4 linked regions of the Cricetulus griseus genome follow. Each later gene encodes a partner of the first gene's protein in a complex. Links are inferred from orthologs where the notes say so. Each region holds a gene or a part of one and is shown on either strand. Other genes may lie near its edges. The genes, in order: Wdr20, Usp12, Wdr48 and Usp46.

The links.
Region 2: the proteins of Wdr20 (region 1) and Usp12 are in contact, whole or in part, in a crystal structure (PDB 5K1C), measured with the Homo sapiens proteins. The link is inferred for Cricetulus griseus from reciprocal best matches to the Homo sapiens genes WDR20 and USP12. Residues at the interface, in NP_653175.2 of Homo sapiens: Asn41, Ser42, Gly44, Ser45, Arg151, Ser170, Lys259, Ser260, Tyr261, Phe262, Gly263, Glu282, Asp283, Asp284, Leu285, His301, Lys304, Ser305, Trp306, Gln374, Asp375, Thr376, Arg516, Met517, His533, Glu534, Arg535; in NP_872294.2 of Homo sapiens: Glu207, Asn209, Thr210, Ser211, Thr213, His214, Arg217, Arg277, Val279, Phe280, Pro281, Leu282, Glu283, Leu284, Arg285, Phe287, Asp297, Met299, Gln342, Glu345, Tyr348, Thr351, Ser352.
Region 3: the proteins of Wdr20 (region 1) and Wdr48 are in contact, whole or in part, in a crystal structure (PDB 5K1C), measured with the Homo sapiens proteins. The link is inferred for Cricetulus griseus from reciprocal best matches to the Homo sapiens genes WDR20 and WDR48. Residues at the interface, in NP_653175.2 of Homo sapiens: Arg20, Ser364, Thr384, Glu385, Asp386, Glu524, Pro525, Leu526; in NP_065890.1 of Homo sapiens: Val191, Lys207, Gly208, Gly240, Gln241, Gln242, Arg243, Cys244, Ile245.
Region 4: the proteins of Wdr20 (region 1) and Usp46 are in contact, whole or in part, in a crystal structure (PDB 6JLQ), measured with the Homo sapiens proteins. The link is inferred for Cricetulus griseus from reciprocal best matches to the Homo sapiens genes WDR20 and USP46. Residues at the interface, in NP_653175.2 of Homo sapiens: Asn41, Ser42, Gly44, Arg151, Lys259, Tyr261, Phe262, Gly263, Glu282, Asp283, Asp284, Leu285, His301, Lys304, Ser305, Trp306, Gln374, Asp375, Thr376, Leu509, Arg516, Met517, His533, Glu534, Arg535; in NP_073743.2 of Homo sapiens: Asn205, Thr206, Ser207, Thr209, His210, Arg213, Arg273, Val275, Phe276, Pro277, Glu279, Leu280, Arg281, Phe283, Asp293, Met295, Gln338, Glu342, Tyr344, Thr347, Ser348.

What each region holds. Positions count from the first base shown.
Region 1 is NC_048598.1:183,271,358-183,275,628, reverse strand, and holds the start of Wdr20 (WD repeat-containing protein 20), read left to right. Parts: upstream 1-1,450; 5' UTR 1,451-1,499; coding exon 1,500-1,748; intron 1,749-4,271. UniProt on the Homo sapiens protein: Regulator of deubiquitinating complexes. Activates deubiquitinating activity of complexes containing USP12. Anchors at the base of the ubiquitin-contacting loop of USP12 and remotely modulates the catalytic center of the enzyme.
Region 2 is NC_048597.1:82,630,930-82,635,158, reverse strand, and holds the start of Usp12 (ubiquitin carboxyl-terminal hydrolase 12), read left to right. Parts: upstream 1-1,402; 5' UTR 1,403-1,648; coding exon 1,649-1,696; intron 1,697-4,229. UniProt on the Homo sapiens protein: Deubiquitinating enzyme that plays various roles in the regulation of the immune response and inflammation.
Region 3 is NC_048597.1:227,013,782-227,017,507, forward strand, and holds the end of Wdr48 (WD repeat-containing protein 48), read left to right. Parts: coding exon 1-74; intron 75-1,580; coding exon 1,581-1,770; intron 1,771-2,268; coding exon 2,269-2,364; 3' UTR 2,365-3,175; downstream 3,176-3,726. UniProt on the Homo sapiens protein: Regulator of deubiquitinating complexes, which acts as a strong activator of USP1, USP12 and USP46. Enhances the USP1-mediated deubiquitination of FANCD2; USP1 being almost inactive by itself.
Region 4 is NW_023276807.1:140,561,401-140,565,639, reverse strand, and holds the start of Usp46 (ubiquitin carboxyl-terminal hydrolase 46), read left to right. Parts: upstream 1-1,428; 5' UTR 1,429-1,572; coding exon 1,573-1,608; intron 1,609-4,239. UniProt on the Homo sapiens protein: Deubiquitinating enzyme that plays a role in behavior, possibly by regulating GABA action. May act by mediating the deubiquitination of GAD1/GAD67.

The sequences.
Region 1 (4,271 bases):
CTCCGAGCCATCTCCCCAGCCCCATATCAAGGATTTTAAACCAGGTGTGTGGATCATGCCTTTAATCTCAGCACTTGGGTGGCAAGAGGCAGGTGGATTCCTGAGATGGATGCCAGGACAGTCAGGAATATTTAGTGAGACACAGTCTCCTCAAAGAAGAGTTAACTCGTTATTTAAAAAATAAATAAATAAAAGGATTTTATTGTAGTGCTATTTTTTTTGGTCAGCTACAAAGTGTTAGTGTTACACTCATTTTTCACCATTGGCAGTTCTGCTGTTTATATACTTGCTCTCTACTGCATAAAACGTTTATGATTTAAATTTCTTTACAAAGCTCCTGCTTTTTTACAGTTACTTTTTGTGAGCTGGAGTCTTGCTCCGTGAGCTAGGCTAGCTTCCAACATCTGGGCTCGGGTATTCCTTGGGTCTGGAACTACAGGTGCCCACCACTGTACTGGGCTCGCTCCACCTTCTACTCTACAGACACGACTTTCCAGGGATGGTTCATTCTTCGTGTAACCCTGCCCCCCCCCCCCATTCTAGAACCCTATTATAACGTTTCTTATTTTAAAAGCGTCCGTATCCCAGTGCACATACCCAGAAATGGATACACCAAATGGCGATCGCTTAATGCTACTTTAACTTGTGCGCTTGTCCTTAAGTGTTTAGACTGTGTACAGAATACTCGCACTTTACGGTTCTCCTAGCAAACAACTTCAAGTTCCATCTGAGGCTTTGGAAAACTGATTAGCTTTACCTTTGTAAGGCACAGATTCAGTGTCTAGCTCCCGAAGCTATGGGCCGTGACCCTCGCCCCAACACAACCTAGCGTCTCAAGCAGCAGCCAGTGCTCACCCCAGTCAGGTTTCAGGTGAGGCTTGAGAACGCAAGCCCTGCGTAGTTACGCTCTTCTCCCCACCCCGCTCTCACTCGCACGAGCAAAAAAACAAAACCGCGAGGGGCAACGAAACCCACTCCTGCTGTCCCTGCTGCCAAACGGCCTCTGGGAGGCCCCGACGGCTCCCACCGCGACTGCGTGCGTCCCCGCCAGCCCCGGAGGGGGGGGAGAGCCGGGCGCAGCGGGGTCGCCCAGGTCCGCACACCGCGCTGCTGCTCCGCTCGGCTCGGGCTCCGCCCTCCCTCGGCTTCTCCGGCCCGGGGGCGTCGCAGAGCGCCGCGGACTCACCTCGCCTTAGGGACGAACGCCTGAGCCCAGCCCGCCGCGCGCGCTTCCACAAGCGGGGAGCCTGCGCTCGCCACGCGGTACCGAGCCCGCCAAGGGAGCGCACGAGCGAGCGAGCGAGCGTGCGTGCGTGCGTGCGTGCGTGCTTAGTCGCCCCGCCCCCGTGTGTGTGTGTGTGGGGGGGGTGGGGGCTGGCTCTCGGGTGGGCGGGGCCGCGGAGAAGGGGGTGGGGGGCGGAGCCCGAGCGTCCGGGGACGGCGCCTGCGCGGTGGGCGTGATCCGGGCACTTAGGGCAGGATGAACGCTGCTTTCCAAGATGGCGACGGAGGGAGGAGGGAAGGAGATGAACGAGATTAAGACCCAATTCACCACCCGGGAAGGTCTGTACAAGCTGCTGCCGCACTCGGAGTACAGCCGGCCCAACCGGGTGCCCTTCAACTCGCAGGGATCCAACCCTGTCCGCGTCTCCTTCGTAAACCTCAACGACCAGTCTGGCAACGGCGACCGCCTCTGCTTCAATGTGGGCCGGGAGCTCTACTTCTATATCTACAAGGGGGTCCGCAAGGTACCGACCCGGGCGTCACCGGGGGCTCGCCGGCGGCGCGGGCCGCGGCCGGGGTCACCGGCACTTTGGAGTGGGCCGGCCGGCAACTCCGCTGGGGCAGCCCGGAGGAGAGAGGCGGGAGGGAGGCGCGCCGGGGCTCCGCAGGGGAGGGGGCTCCGGGGCCGCGGCGCCGCGAGTCCCCGCGAGTCCCCGGGAGCCGCCGGAGCCGCCGGGAGCCGCCGGCCGCCTCCCCGGTCGGGTCCGTCAGGTGCCGACGCTGCCCGGGCGCGGGCCTGCCGGTCCCCCGGAAGAGGTGCGGCGGCCGCCTTAGGTGGCCTCGCTCCCCGGGCGGCTCGGCTCGGCTCGGCTCGCAGAGGTCCGTAAGGCGGAACCGGGGCAGGGAGGCGGAGGACTTGGAGACTGGGTCAGAGAGGACCGGCTCGGCACGCAGGGCTGCTCCACCTGCTGCCGCACTGACACTTCCTGGGAGCGAGCCTCTCTCTCTTCTCGTGGTGTCAACACTGTTTCCAAAACCCTTCCCGGCAGGACCGCTGGCTGTCGCCGTCCCCGCCTCGGGAGCCTTCTCCCGAAAGGTTGGCGGGCGGGCGGCCGGCCGGCCGGCGAGGGTCATTCTGTCCCCCCGAGGCGAGAGAGGGCTGGGCGCTCACACTTGGGAGGTTGCAGGGATGTCTTGACAAGTGTTGTGAGTGTGTGAGCGTGCCTAGATTTATCTTGTCCAACGAGTCAGGCTGTGTCCCAAACAGGGAGGGAGATGCCTGAAATGCTACTTTACAGCAGCCAGCCAAGAACTTAACAGTAATTCCGTGAAGCATGTCATCGTGTTTGAAAATGTCTGGTTAAAAGCAGCAGTTTATTGCCGCACCCCCCCCCCCAATTGGCAATGTAACCATGTTCTGAGAATTGCTTGTTTTTTTTAACTTTTGACTGTTGAGTGAGGAAATGAATGTATGTACCCATAGTACCTTGGACGGAATGTGACAAGGTGATGAAAGATTAACTTATAAATGTTCAGTCACTGGGAAAAATAAATCTTCCATGTTGAGGAGTGCACACTACCAAGGATTAATATATCCAAAGTTGGTGTTTTTTTTTTCTTTGTAATGCATGGTTATGAGAACATGGAAGGAGATAATTGTATGCAAAAGCAGTGTGTTGCTTCTTTGGCCCAGGGTTTGTGTTTAGTCAGTGTACTATGGCTATGGTGCTGGAAGGTTTTGAAAGTAGCCGGTTGACTCCTCATGCTTGGGATTGGGAAAGTATGTCGTGGTTTGTAGTGTAGGAGCTGAAGTTTTAGTGTTACCTTCCAACTTTGTTACTGACTCACTGGTGATCTTGGATACTTTTGAAGCTTTTCTTTGCATTTCTTTAAAAAGGGAGGGTTGCAGTGCATGTTGTAATTCATGATATAATAGCTGTCATGGCCGTTAAGAGCCCTGACACACTCAGTAGATGTAAACTGTAGTGGCAGCATTAAGAGTAACTGTCAAAAAAGAAGCTGGCATCTCAACATTTCCCCCTCCGAGTACCAGAGTATTCAGGTTTTTCTCTGGAAATAATTTTTAAGACTTTGTTATCAAAACATATTTAGGGACTGGAGTGATGGCTCAGTGGTTAAGAACTGGCACTGCTCTTGCAGAGGACGACCCGAGTTCAGCTCTGGGGAAGCTGAGGTCCTTTTCTGGGTTCTGAGTACCCACTTACAGCACACACACATAACTTTAAAAAAATAAAATAAACCTTAGAAAAGTTATAATTAGATCCTACTGTGGTTGTGCACACCTGCAATCGTAGCACTCAAATTGTGATTTTTGCGGCCAGCCAGGACTATAATTAGCAAGTTCAAGGCCAGCCTGGGCTACAGTTAACAAGTTTGAGGCAAACATGGGCTATATAGTTAGTGGGACCCTACCTCTAAACCCAGGTGGATCTCTCTGGGTTCAAGGCCAGCCTGGCCCACATAGAGTTCCAGGCTGGTTAGGGCTACATAAGAGCCTATCTCAAAAACCAAAAACACCCTCCCAAACCAAAACCAATCAAACAAAAACGATGATGTAAAAATATGACAAGCTTAAAAGTTAAATTCACAGGGCCTGGAAGATGGCTCAGTAGTCTAGAGTACCTCGTGTTCTTCAGAGCCCAGCTCGCAGCTCAAAACTCCTGTCATCACTGCTCCAGCATATTCAGAGTCCTTTTCAAACCTCTTGTGCACCTGCATATTGTGGCATTCACACATGTATAAGTAATAAGATAAGGTTTAAAAAGTGGAATTCACCCACATTAATCATTACTACTTTAGGTATTACTTCCTTTGTGTCCCCTCCCCCTGCAATGTCGGGTGCGGGCAGAACCCCGGGCTCTGGCGTGTTAGGCAACTGCTCCCTCACTGTGTTACACATCCAGCTCTGAAAGGCTTTTTTGGATCATTCTCTTAACAGACTTCATCTGCATTTAGTAGGTCTGGCTTGCATAGCTAAAGACCATTTGTTTAGCAATATCCTTATGATGGTGTTCTAACAGCTTTTA
Region 2 (4,229 bases), on another chromosome or scaffold:
TGTTGGGGTTACAGGTGTATGTCATGATCATTTATGTTCTGAGAAAAGGACTCAAGTGGTTCAGGCTGGCCTTGAATTCGCTACATAGCTGAGGATGACCTTACCATACCAGGGTTTATGAAGTGCTGAGATGAAACCCAGGAACGCCTACACCCCACACAGCACGTTACCAATTAAGCCATATGTTCAGCCTCCACCCTGACCTTTAAAACATAGATGTTGTAGGCCCATGCTCGAAAGCCAAGCAAGCAGACACTGCATAGACTTGACTGGTGTCAACCAGAGTCCAAGCCCCTGGCATGGTATGGTATCTATATTAAAGAGGGAGACTCCTCCTGTATGCAGGTAGGCACCTGGAGAGAGGCAGCTGCCAGGGGAGCTTAGCAGTACTCGGTGGTGTCCCCTCCCCCCCGACGCTTACAATGGAATTGCTATGGAAACAGCATTCATGTACCAGAAATCCATTTCTCGACTAAATTTTGTTCGAATTCTTTGTTTCTTTAATGCTTTGTATAAAGTGAGGCTTACCAGGTTTTAGAGCTTTGTCTGAATTCAGGCCCTAAGTTCCACAGACAAGTGGGGGTGCTGTGGGAGGAAGAAAAGGTTCCTACCCTCAGATCGCCAATCAAAACAAACCACAGGCTTTCTAATGTAGCGATTGATCTTATGAATTTTCTGCGGGGTCCGTCCACTAGCTAACACTGCGCATGTGCTCCTCACACTCTGGCTGCAGCTTCCTTCTTCGGACATCAACACCCCTCCTTCAAAAATTCCGAGTTGATATCCCACTGTCAAGCAGGATTGGCTCCCCTTCCTCTCCTCCCCCACTACTGTTAATTCAAAGAGCTAATAGGCATACTTGTTTGTCTTTTTACCTAATTAGTCTCTAAGAAGGGAGTTTGGCTCAGAAAAACACCAAGTGCTTGGGACGCTTTGGAGGGGTTGCTCTCCAACTCATCCACAGTTTCCCAGGCATAGCCTCAGTTTTCTGTCTCAACAGTGGCGCTAGCTGTCCTTTAGAGCTGTGGGTCAGTCGCTCCGAAGGCTGCTTACGGTCACTGACGCCGCAGGGCAAAAAGCATCGCGCTTTTCCCCAAGACACGCTCTCGTAGTTAGGGTGGCGACTGCGTGCCCGCGCTAGGACCCAGAAGCAAGTAGGACGCGGCCCCCGTCTCGCCCCGCCCCCGACACGCACTGGGTGGAGCCGTCTCCCTCAAAGCGCGCTCCCTCGAGGGAGGGCGGGGCATCATGGGCGTGGCACAGCTGCGGTGGGCGTGACGGCGGCAGAGTGGGCGGGGCGGCACGACGCTGCCAGGTCGGCCGGGCGGAAGGGCCTTGCGCGGAGCTCGCTCCCCAGCGCGCTGGGCGGGGTGTGCGGCGAGCGGCTTCCCGGGCAGGCGCGGGCCCCGAGGCGGCGGCTGCGCCGTGCGCCGGGGCGGAGCCGGGGGCGGGCGGGCCGGCGGGCGGGCGGGGGCTGGGCCGGAGGAAGCCTGAGTGCCCGCGGCGACGACGGCAGCGGCGGCCCAGCAGGCTAGAAGCGTGGGTCCACGGCGGCTCCGGGTGCGGCTGCGGGCTGCGGAGCGAGCGGGCGGCCCGGCTCCCCGCGTCCCCCGCCCGCCGCGACTGTCTGGAAGATGGCGCCGGGCGGATGGAAATCCTAATGACAGTCTCCAAATTCGCCTCCATCTGTACCATGGTAGGTGCGGCGGCAGCGCGGCCCGGGCGGCGGGTCCCCGCCTTCGAGGCGCCGCCCGCGGCCCTGCTCTAGAGCGAGCGGACAGGGCGCGGGGCCGAGTGGCCGTGGGGAAGGCGTGCTGGACGCAGCAGGCGGGGCTGGGACCGACCCCGGGGCTCCGAGCTGCGGACCGGAGCTGGGGACCGGGAACTCGGGGTCTGGGGACCGGGGGTTCGGGTACTGTGCCTGGGGGCTAGGGCCTGGGGACTCAGGGGCGGGGGTAGGGGTAAGGGCTGTGTACTGGGTCTGGGGACTTAGGGACTAGGGGTGGGGACTGGGATTGGGGGCTGGAGCCGGAGACTCTAAACGGGGGACTGGGGACTAGGACCAAGGGCTGCAGGCTGGGAGTAGGGCTGGGGGCCGAGTACTGGGAACTGGTACCGGGAAGCCAGGGGACTGGGCCAGGGGAAGGGACGCGGCGGCCGCTGCGTTTCCGTGGGTCTGAGCGCGGGGTAGGGCGGGGGTCTGCGGCAGGAAGGAAGGGTCTCGATCCTGCCGGAGGACGGAAGTCCTGGCAGAGTTACTCCTCGGGCTAGGTGGAGTCCCGGGGCCCGGGCTCGGGAAGGGGGCGTGTGACGGTGGAAAGTTTTAAGAGTGCTGTTGAAATGTTCTCTATTTTCTACTCGCCGAGGAGAAACGAACTCTTGCGGTTTCCAACCTGTGTCCGTCCAGATGGCAGCCTTGTCGCTGAGAGTCCGCGTTAATCTTGAAAAGCTGCACTAGCTTTCCTGTCATTTGTTTTACTTTAATAGAGCAGACGCCGCAGTGTGGGGTTGAAGTACACAGACCCCGAATAGAGCGAAACGTGGGTGGGTTCCTAAACGTGTTTTTTTGTGCATTGCCAGAAGCACCACCACAGTTTCCCACATGATGTGACAAATTCATTAGCTCCTTTCTGAACTTGTACGTAGAGGTTGCGATTTATGAATCACCGAAAAAGTTATTATTTGCAGTGTGGGTCTGGAGTTACATTACCAAAGATTTGCACCATCCTGTTCCGTTTTTATGTCCTGGATTTCATCTAGGAGATCCCCAGACTTTCCACCTGAAAGTGATCTGTGCTTTTGCTTTAAGGAGTGGAGAATCAGGTAGGAAAAGTGGATTTTCTACTGCATTTTGTGGAACAGTATTTAAAAAAGGGTGGAATCCGTGGGTTTACAGTCCACAGCATCAAAAAAGTCACAGCAAGAAGGAATCACTGGAGAATCGATTTCCCCACGTGAATAATTGTTCTTTCATGGTCTTCAGAAAGGGGCTATATTAACAGTTTCTGGGGTTGGTTGTACTCATTACTTTAGACCTGCCACATAGGATTGAATCTTTTACAGTGATAATTTTACCAGATTGCTGAGCTCCACACCTTTTGGGGTCATAGTTCATTGTCAAAGTCTAGGGCTTCAGGAGTGGTGTGATTCCCATGGACTGACTGTTCCTTCACTCAGTTACATCAAGTTTACATTTAGCACCTGCTGACTAGCACTGGCAATACAGAAATGATTCTGGCCGTCTCTAGCAGGACGTTTTCGACCATGCTTCTACATCCAGGACTCTGGATGCAGAAGGATCACAAGCTCTAAGCAGATGGAGTTACACATAGGGAGACCTTGTCTTGAAAAAACACGCCCACAACAAAAGGCAACCCCTACTTTCATGGTGTTTACTTTCTACTTGAGGAAGACAATTCTCATTTACATAGTAATACAGTGTACCTGCCAGGATTCTGTAGCAAATAAGGCTTCTTGTCAAGGATGTCCCAAACTCACCCTCGTTAGACATGTGGTATGTGTATGCGTTTTGGCAAATAAATAGACATCCATGCCTGGCCAAAGAAATTGTTCCAAAGGTGCTATTAAGATCAGGTGCATCTTGTTCATACTTGAATAAATTCTACTCCTCTCCCTGAGTAGGTACTGAACAGGTCAGAGTGTAAGGAGGGCTGCTGTCCATCTTCTGGGAATTATGAAAGTGAAAATCAGGAATGACAAAGGCCCTGTAGGTTCTGTTTTGCTTGGAATGTGAACTGTTCCATCATCCATGGACTATGCAGCTGTCTTTTAAGGAGGTCATCTGACCTGAACAACACCACTCTGCCCACTTGCCTCATACAATTGCACAGCATTTTTGTGATCTCAGAAGTGCTGTGCAGTATGTCATGTGTCGTCTCCCCCATTTTTATTAGGTTATGAGGTTTTTTTTTTTTCTCTGCTGGTGTTTTGAAACAGGGTCTTCTGTAGGTCGCATAGAGTTTGAATTTGGTATGTAGTGGTGGCTTGCCCTGAATGCCTGATTGTCCTGCCTCCACCTCCCAGCCTCTTGGGATTTCAGGTGTACATCATCGTACCAGGTTTAGACTGTGAGGGCTTTGAAGTTAAAGACTTAACTGCCATTTAACCATTTGTACACATTTACTAGTGGAAACAGTCCTCCATTTACTCACAGGAGGTGAGTTTGGAGTAGAGGTAAGGCTGGGCGTGGAACAGTGGAGAGAAGGAAG
Region 3 (3,726 bases), on another chromosome or scaffold:
AATATGCCCAAATTCAACAAAATTCCTTTCTACCTCCAACCTCATGCATCTTCAGGAGCAAAAACTTTAAAAAAGTAAGTAACCATTGCTCTTCTTGATTGCAGTCACTGCACCTATGGTCACGTGGTGAAAGGGAGACGGCTGCTGGGTGGGAAGCTGGTTATTGTGGAGCTTGTCCCCTGTCAGAATTTAGCTTAGCCCATAATTGCTGACTCATGCCTTTGTAGTCTCAGCACTCGGAGGCAGAAACAGGAAAGAGGCCAGCCTGGGAAATACAGTGAGTTCCAGGCCAGCTGAGACGCCATAGCAAGACCAAGTAAGCCGTTTGTGGTGGCTCACACCTGTAATCCCTATTCTTAGCGGTGGACAGAGGAGGATCAGTTCCAGGGCATGTGAGACTCTGTTTAGGACAAAACCTGTGTATAGTAGCTGCCTCTACAGACCCTTTAGGGAGTAAAGAGAAAGGGGTAACCAGCTTGTGAGCACAGCTTTCTGAGGTTTCAGGAAGGAGGAATCACCTGAACACGGGCGGATGGCTGTACTGCCCAAAGACACACTTCCCCGGCGGGAACAGGCTGAGGATACCAGAAGTGGTTGTGGGGATGCGTGTTCCCTCACATAGGCTGGAGTGGGGAGACATGACGAGTTAGAGGCTTGGTGACTGAATTTGAATGCCAGGTCACCATGACATACTAGCAGAAATTCCTGATAGGTAAGGTAGACAAGGCTCCAAGAGAGGCTTACGGCAGAGAAGCTGAGGCCAGCAAGGGAATGTGAGCCATAATCAGTATGTGTGTGACACCAGCAGGGCAGCTAAACTGTCCCCAGGGTTCCTGAGCTGGCCCACTGGCCAATGAGACACTTCAGGGTTGACCACCACGAGGGTCTGCTCGCCTCGACACTCCTGCACACGCACACACTGGATCAGTTCATAGCGAGCGTAGACACACTTGTAGCAGATTCATGACAGAACCCCAGGATCCTTGAAGAGTTTACACTGTAGCTATGAGGTTTGGTGGTGGTTGAATGATAGCAGAGATGAGGGCCTGGACGAAAGGGACTTCAGCTGTGTGATCCAGGACAAGCCAGCTGCTGGATTTGTGGTGTGGAGCCGCCTGGGGCTTAATGTCTAGCCTGGGGCGTTCATTGTCTGCTTCTAGTTGAAGACACAGCAGTGGGAAGTAACACTGAGCCCTGGTGGTTAATTGGTGGATCTGCCCAGGTCTGTCCTCGGTTCAGGCGCACACATGAAGGACTAAAATGCAGGTAGCTATTGTGTGTAGTACATAAGCCCTAGACGGGCACCATTGGAACTCTCTGACAACTCCCAAATGGATCCAGGGACTGAAAACATGCATTGGTTTCAGATGTCTGTACAAGAGGCTCTCTGTGAGTTCGAGGCCACTCTGGTCTCCAGAGTGACTGCCAGGATAGGCTTCATAGCTACATAGAGAAACCCTGTCTCAGAAAGAAAGAAAAAAAAAAAAAAAAACAGATGTCTGTACAACGTTTTTCTTTAGATGTTGACACAATGAAAATAATAGACTTTGTGGTATCAAAACATGCATTGTCTTTTCTAGAGACAGACTCTCTGCCAGTGACATGCTGCAGGTCCGGAAGGTGACGGAGCATGTCTACGAGAAGATTATCAACCTGGATAATGAGTCTCAGACCACCAGCTCTTCTAATAATGAGAAGCCAGAGCAGGAGAAGGAGGAGGATATTGCTGTGTTGGCAGAGGAGAAAATTGAACTTCTGTGCCAGGACCAGGTGAGTGGACCTGAGGAGTGTAGCTTCATCTCCCTGCAGAGGTACCCAGAAAGTCACACAACGTGTAACCGTGACGTGTGCTTAGATCCTCAAGCAGTTGGCCTCCTTGGGCATCAGCTTTCAGAGGCTCTCAAGAGCCCAGTCTTTTGCCAAGATTCTTCAGCGTACCCGAAGCTTTTCTTCATCTGAGGGAGGTGCTTGGGAAGAGGACACAGATTTACAGATGTCCACAGTAGGGCTGCACCTGGTTAACAGGGGCAAGGTCGTCTTGATTTGCAGGGTAGTATCTATCATGTTAAAGAATTTGGAGTGGAGGTGGGTGGTGAAGAGATGGATCACAGCTAAGAGGCAGTGTGTGTGCTCAGGTGGGGCTGAGCTGCTTCTGCTGGTGGATTTTTCAGATCCCATGTGTAAGCTGGGCCACCTGGCAGGTCCCTGGTTAAGGGTGGCTTTAGCTGTTAGTGACCTTGACGTTTTCAATGCACTTTGGCTGTTCAGGTTTTGGACCCAAATATGGACCTACGAACAGTAAAGCACTTCATCTGGAAGAGCGGCGGGGACCTCACACTCCATTACCGCCAGAAGTGCACGTGAAGGGGGGCCAAGTCCTGGGTTATTCATCAACCTTCCTCTGGGGCCCTGAGTAGTCCTAGGAAGCCCACCAAGCCCTACCGGGAGCAGGAGCTCCACCGGCCGATTTGGTGGAGTCACTAATCGAGATGTAATATAGAACCAGGCTCCATGCATAGATTAAGGTGTCCCCAGGGACTCAGTGTGAGGACAGGAGCCCCAAGCAGTCCTTCGAGGTGTGCAGAGACCTACAACAGCCGTGCGGACTTCACTGACCCCTTTTGAAGGCCCTCTGTCTCTTAGCACTTGTTAGAGAACATCAGCGGGGCCACATCTGTCACCGCGTTTCAAACCCATGAGTTCTGCGGCTTCTCTAAGTACATTCCACTCATGCAGTACCTATGAAGGCTTTTTCCAAATTTGTCATTACAAAAAAAAAAAAAAAAAAAATGTTTTCATCATCATGTAAGAGTTTTGTTTTAATGGGAATCATCACTGTTGCACAATTCAAGAACCAGCCCACTTTGTAAGAAATGACCATGTTGGGCTACTTTTGAAATACGGGATCTCAGCTGTGGTCTGTAGGAGGACCTCCTGCCACTGCACCTGTGTTGTGCAGTACTGTCCCATAGCAGCCCCAACAGCGGTGGCCACTGTCCTTCCTCCAGCAACCAGTCTTCCTCAGAGGCAGTGTCAGTGGGAACCACAGCCTCGCAACCTGGGTGAGCAGCACGATACTGTCCACTTAAGACCATGCTGAAGTCTCAGTTTCATTCAAATGCTACCTAAAGTTTGTGTTATTAGAGTAAAAAGATCTCACAGTCAGTTGGTTTGATATTTATATTGTGGTCCATGTTTGGTTTTCCAGTTTTATGCGTGGGCTTTTCCTGTACCTGCGTCCAGATCTTTTCCTGTCTTTCTAACAATCATAAGCTTTCATAGACTCACTTGGACTTGGAATTATTAACTTATTGGGGATAAACACTTCACCTTTGACAGAAAATACTTTGGATTCTTCTCAAGGTCCTTCTCATTCAGATAGCTCAGTGGTCCCCCTGACCCTCCAGAAGACAAACCTTGAACAAAGCCAGAAGAAGCACAAGTGCCTTCAGGGGCAGTTTATTCCAGGCCCGTCGCCTCCCTCCCCTGTGTGCTCTGTCCCCACGGGAGCAGGGACTGGAGAGGGCTTGTTCTCTTTTCCACATCTTCACAGGTTCCACTGGGGGCCGCTGGTGGGTCCAGGTCGGTCCCTCACAAAATGAGGCACCGATCCGAACAACTGCAGAACAGGGTCCCTCACTGCTAACTGTGGAGCTCAGACATGCCACGGCTTCCACACCCTCAAGTGAGCAAAGACATTTCCCAGGTGTTAAAATGTTCTTTCCT
Region 4 (4,239 bases), on another chromosome or scaffold:
TCTGGCCAGTTATAGTTTGGGTGTTTTACCAATGTCTTTTCCCAAAATGGTGCCCAGCTGAGGTTAGCACACCTGCATCTATGCCATTTGGGTAGCAGAAACTGGGTAGGACACCTGATCTCTAAACCTTATGGAGCTAATTGTGCCTATTACGCATAGTCATGGAAGAAGTTGAAGGACTCCTAAAGTATATCGTAACTGGCAGCAGTAAAAAAATTAAAAATAAATTTTAGGTAGGATGACTAAGTGTGAGGAGGAATATTAGTCCTTCTACACACTGAAAAATGCAGTATCCACTTGATCCCCCAAATCTTCAGTCAGTAGTGTTTGTCTTCTATTCCCACCCCAGGTCCTAGAATTACCAATGGACAACTCTCACATGTTATGTGTATAAACCTATTTTCCCCCAGTTAGTTACTTTTGGCTAGATAAAGCTGTCTTCAATTATATTAATTTCTCTCCTAATTTAATTTGTCACAAAACACACTGGCCCAGCAATTTATCACGTTTCACAAGCACTGCTTCCCTGTGGGAAGCATAGAATTGTAACCTTGTCTACACAATTGTTCCCCACGTTTGAGATGGATTCTTTCAATCCTCATGAACTTATTCTTCAAGCGGGGTACACATTTGCAACCTGAGGTCTCTGCTTCTGCAGGACATGTAAAAACTCAAACAGCGTCCATTTCACAAAGCTGAGATCAGGAGCTCCGCGGGTGGGGGATACGGAAGTTTTGTTCTCATCTTTCCTGGACAGCCTCTAGTACCGCCTAGAACCTCTGCCTCTGTCACAAATCTCCGACAGTTATCTGCCTAGATCCGGAATTCTTTCCTTTCTGGCAGACCTTTTCCCAGGCTTCGGGGTTACTGCTGGCTAGGGCTTTCTGGCCACGCCCATGTCCTGGTCGTTTTTACTTTTCGGGTTCCGGCGGATGCCATCTGGCTGAAACCCAGGCGAGAAACTTTAAAGTTGGACTACAGTCACCCCTACTCCTTATATCCTCCGCTAACCAACACCTAAAGCTCAAGGCTTGTTGGAGACCAGCAGGAACAGAGGGAAACAGACAGAGGGAAATCGGGAACCGAGAGCTCTCGTGTTCCCGCGGTGCAGGTCCCCGGCCGGCGATCGGCCAGCGTCCAGCGCCCGGTGCGGTCCTGGGTCAGGCGGGAAGGCCGTGGTGCTGGGTTTATCTGGGGACCGTCTCTCGGTGCAGCCTGAGCGGAGCAGGACCCTGGGGCAGCGGAGCAAGAACGGCTGGCTTCCAGCGGGGTTGGGCGAGCGAGTCCGGGGGGACGAGCAGGCTGGCAGCGTGAGCCCAGGATTCCCGGCTCAGCGCCTCTCGACTCCGGGCTCCTCCTCCTCCCGCCGGCCGCGGCCCCGGCTGCGTCGCTCCGCCACTCCCCGCCCGCGCCGCCGCCCGCCCTCGCCGCGCCCGGCCTCTCTCGCCAACCCCACTGCAAGCCGGCCCCAGGCCGCCTCGCCGCCGCCCGGCCTCGCTGCGCGCCACCATGGACAGTCCCGTTTTCCCCTGGTAAAGATGGCGGTGCGCGATCGCTGCAACCTTTAGACTAATGACTGTCCGAAACATCGCCTCCATCTGTAATATGGTGAGTGGCCGCCGAGCCTCCGGGGGTCGCGCCCGCGGCGAGTCAGGCAAAGAAAGGGAACCCCGGGCTGGAGCTGCACGCGCGCCGTGGTGGCCGTAGGGGCTGTGCGGCCAGAAGTTCCCGGCCCCGGGGCAGGGCCGGCTGACCGCAGTCCCTAGCCTCTGTCCCAGTTGGGGACCTAGTAGATCCCGGGGATCCCCAGGGCGGCCCCATGCCCCCGCCCTCTAGCTGCGGTGTGGGCGGTGGGCGGTGGGTGGGGGCGAAGGGCTCGAGGTGGCACACCGATGTCCCGGGGAAGGACCGTGAGGGTACGAGCCCGGAGAGGGAGGACGCAGATCCTCCTGGTGCAGTAAATAAACCCTCGTCGGACTCCCTGACTGTCCTCTGAGTTCAGCCTCGATTGTATTTAAGATTCACTTTGCAACAGCAGTGCTCTTACCGGGAGAAATTGGATAGACATAAAAGCAGTGGAAAAAAATTCAAGTGCAGAATCTGGCTAGAGAGGTGAAGTAAAGCCGGGTATCAGAAAGCACGGAGGCGGATCTGTTCTGGAGGCCTCAGTTTACCCCACCTGCAGGAGAGATTGTACGGCAGTAACATTTGCAGGCCCTGGGGGAGCGAGGCAGCTGTGGGTGTGAGGAAGTCTGCAGGGGTCATCCTGCCCCGCCTCCTCTCCACTTAGCTTGGGCACTGCCCGGCATGTCACCGTTGTGATGGACTGAGGGGGCATGAGGAGTGGGGAGTGGGAGGTGGGGCATAACCCACCGGTCACTTCAGTGTGGATTTTCCCCATTACTTTGCTGTCCTGTTTAGTTTCCCTGAGACCTGTTTCCAGCCTTTGGGTCCCCTGTTACCTCCACTTGTGAGAGCCTTAGGGAGGTCAGTTTGGGGGTAAGGCATTGCCCACTGTGTGGGGCTTCAGGCTCTGCCTACACTCTCTGGATCCTCTCCCCTCTGAGCCCCTTCAAGCTGGAACACTGGTGTTTTTTGCCATTTTGGGGACCCCCTCACCCCACCAGATAGATAGTAATACTAGCCCCTAAAGGGAATCTGAGGAGGCCTGATTAAGAAGGCTTTAGGTAAGGTGATCTGGCTGCCCTTCCCCCCTCACACAGCCTTTTAAATCTTCTGTCCCACATTCTGTTGCAAGATCAACACATGGCACAGAGCATTAAGGAGCCATGTGTTAGCTCAGGTGGAGTTGAGACCTGCTGAGGCTGGCTCCAGCTTTCAGCACCGGCAGCCAAGGCCATGCCAGCAAGGCAAATGCAGGAGCTCCCAGAGTGATGGCTGCCTGCTTGGTGGTACAGGTCTCCTTAGATGATGGCAGTGGCTCCTGCAGCCTTGACATTTCCTCTTTCTGCTTGAAGACACAGGTTCCTGTCCAGTGGCATTAATGTCAATGGATGCCCTGAGAAGACAATGTATTTCTTCTCAGTGTCTTTGCTGTAACCCAGCTCCTGGGGCAAACTGTGAAACCACAGTGGCTTGAATGCTGTTTTTCCCACCTGTGGGGGTGGCCTCAGGCCTACAGGCTCCTGAGACTCAGTGCCTGCTTGTGATGCTGTTCTTGTCCAGTTTGTATTCAGTGACACTTCTCAGTATTGAAGCAGGGTGGAAACTCGAGAGCTAGCATGTCCCAAGAGGAAGTCTGCCTCTGGCTTGTTCTTGCCCTTGCTGTAGCTAGGACTTCTTGGCACACCTGGACATAATGTCACAACCTGTTTTCAGTGAAACTCAGCCAGAGAGACAAGCTTCTGGGAGGGCATGAAAGAAATGGGCCAGTATTGTGTCAATAGAATCAATGCTTCCTCTGGTGACCTAAAAGTACCAAGTTAAGGCCCATTACCCGCGCCCACCCCTTCCCATAGTGAAGTAAACCTAATACCTTCCTGTTTAAGCAAGTGGAGAGATATTTGCGTTCTAAGGTAAGGCTCTAGGTTCAATCCTGCTGATGTATTTATCTGTGGCTTGGATTTTTGAGACAGTCTCAATAGCCCAGGTAGACCTCCAGCTTGAGACTGCCTTAAACGCTGGATGACAGGTGTTCTTCACCCACCTCTCAAGTCCTGCTTGCAGCACACACCAGCTTTGTTTCTCTGATCACAGTGCTCTTTGCCTTGCTGTTGACTTGTAGAAATGGGCTGATAATGGTTGTGTTGAGTGATGAGTTCCTGGGGCTCAGGGCCATGAGTTCTCAGTGAGTTAGTTCCAGCCGCTCTGCTCAGTACTTTCTTTCTCATTGTGATGCCACCTTCCAGTCATTTCAGGGGCCATGGAAATCATGTCTTCTCCTACCTGAATAGAAACAGTCCATAGAGTCACTTATGCAAAGCCGGTCTGAATGACACTCTAGGAAAGCTGGGGTGGGAACTGGAAACCCCGCCCCTTATAAAAAGCTGCTCAGGTCGGTTCTGCCCCTCCCATTCTCATTTCCCAGTGGAGAAGAGTGGTGATGTGGAGACTGCTGTCTCTGACCCCACCGTGAGATACAAGCTCACTCTACCTCCGTGTAGAGACCTCACTTAACGATGAATTGTTTCCAGGTAGGTCTCTTCTGGGTCTCACTTGTTCCTGTGTTTCTCACCAGGTCTCTTACTTGATCCTTCCTGCTTTCTCCTTTTGATCCCC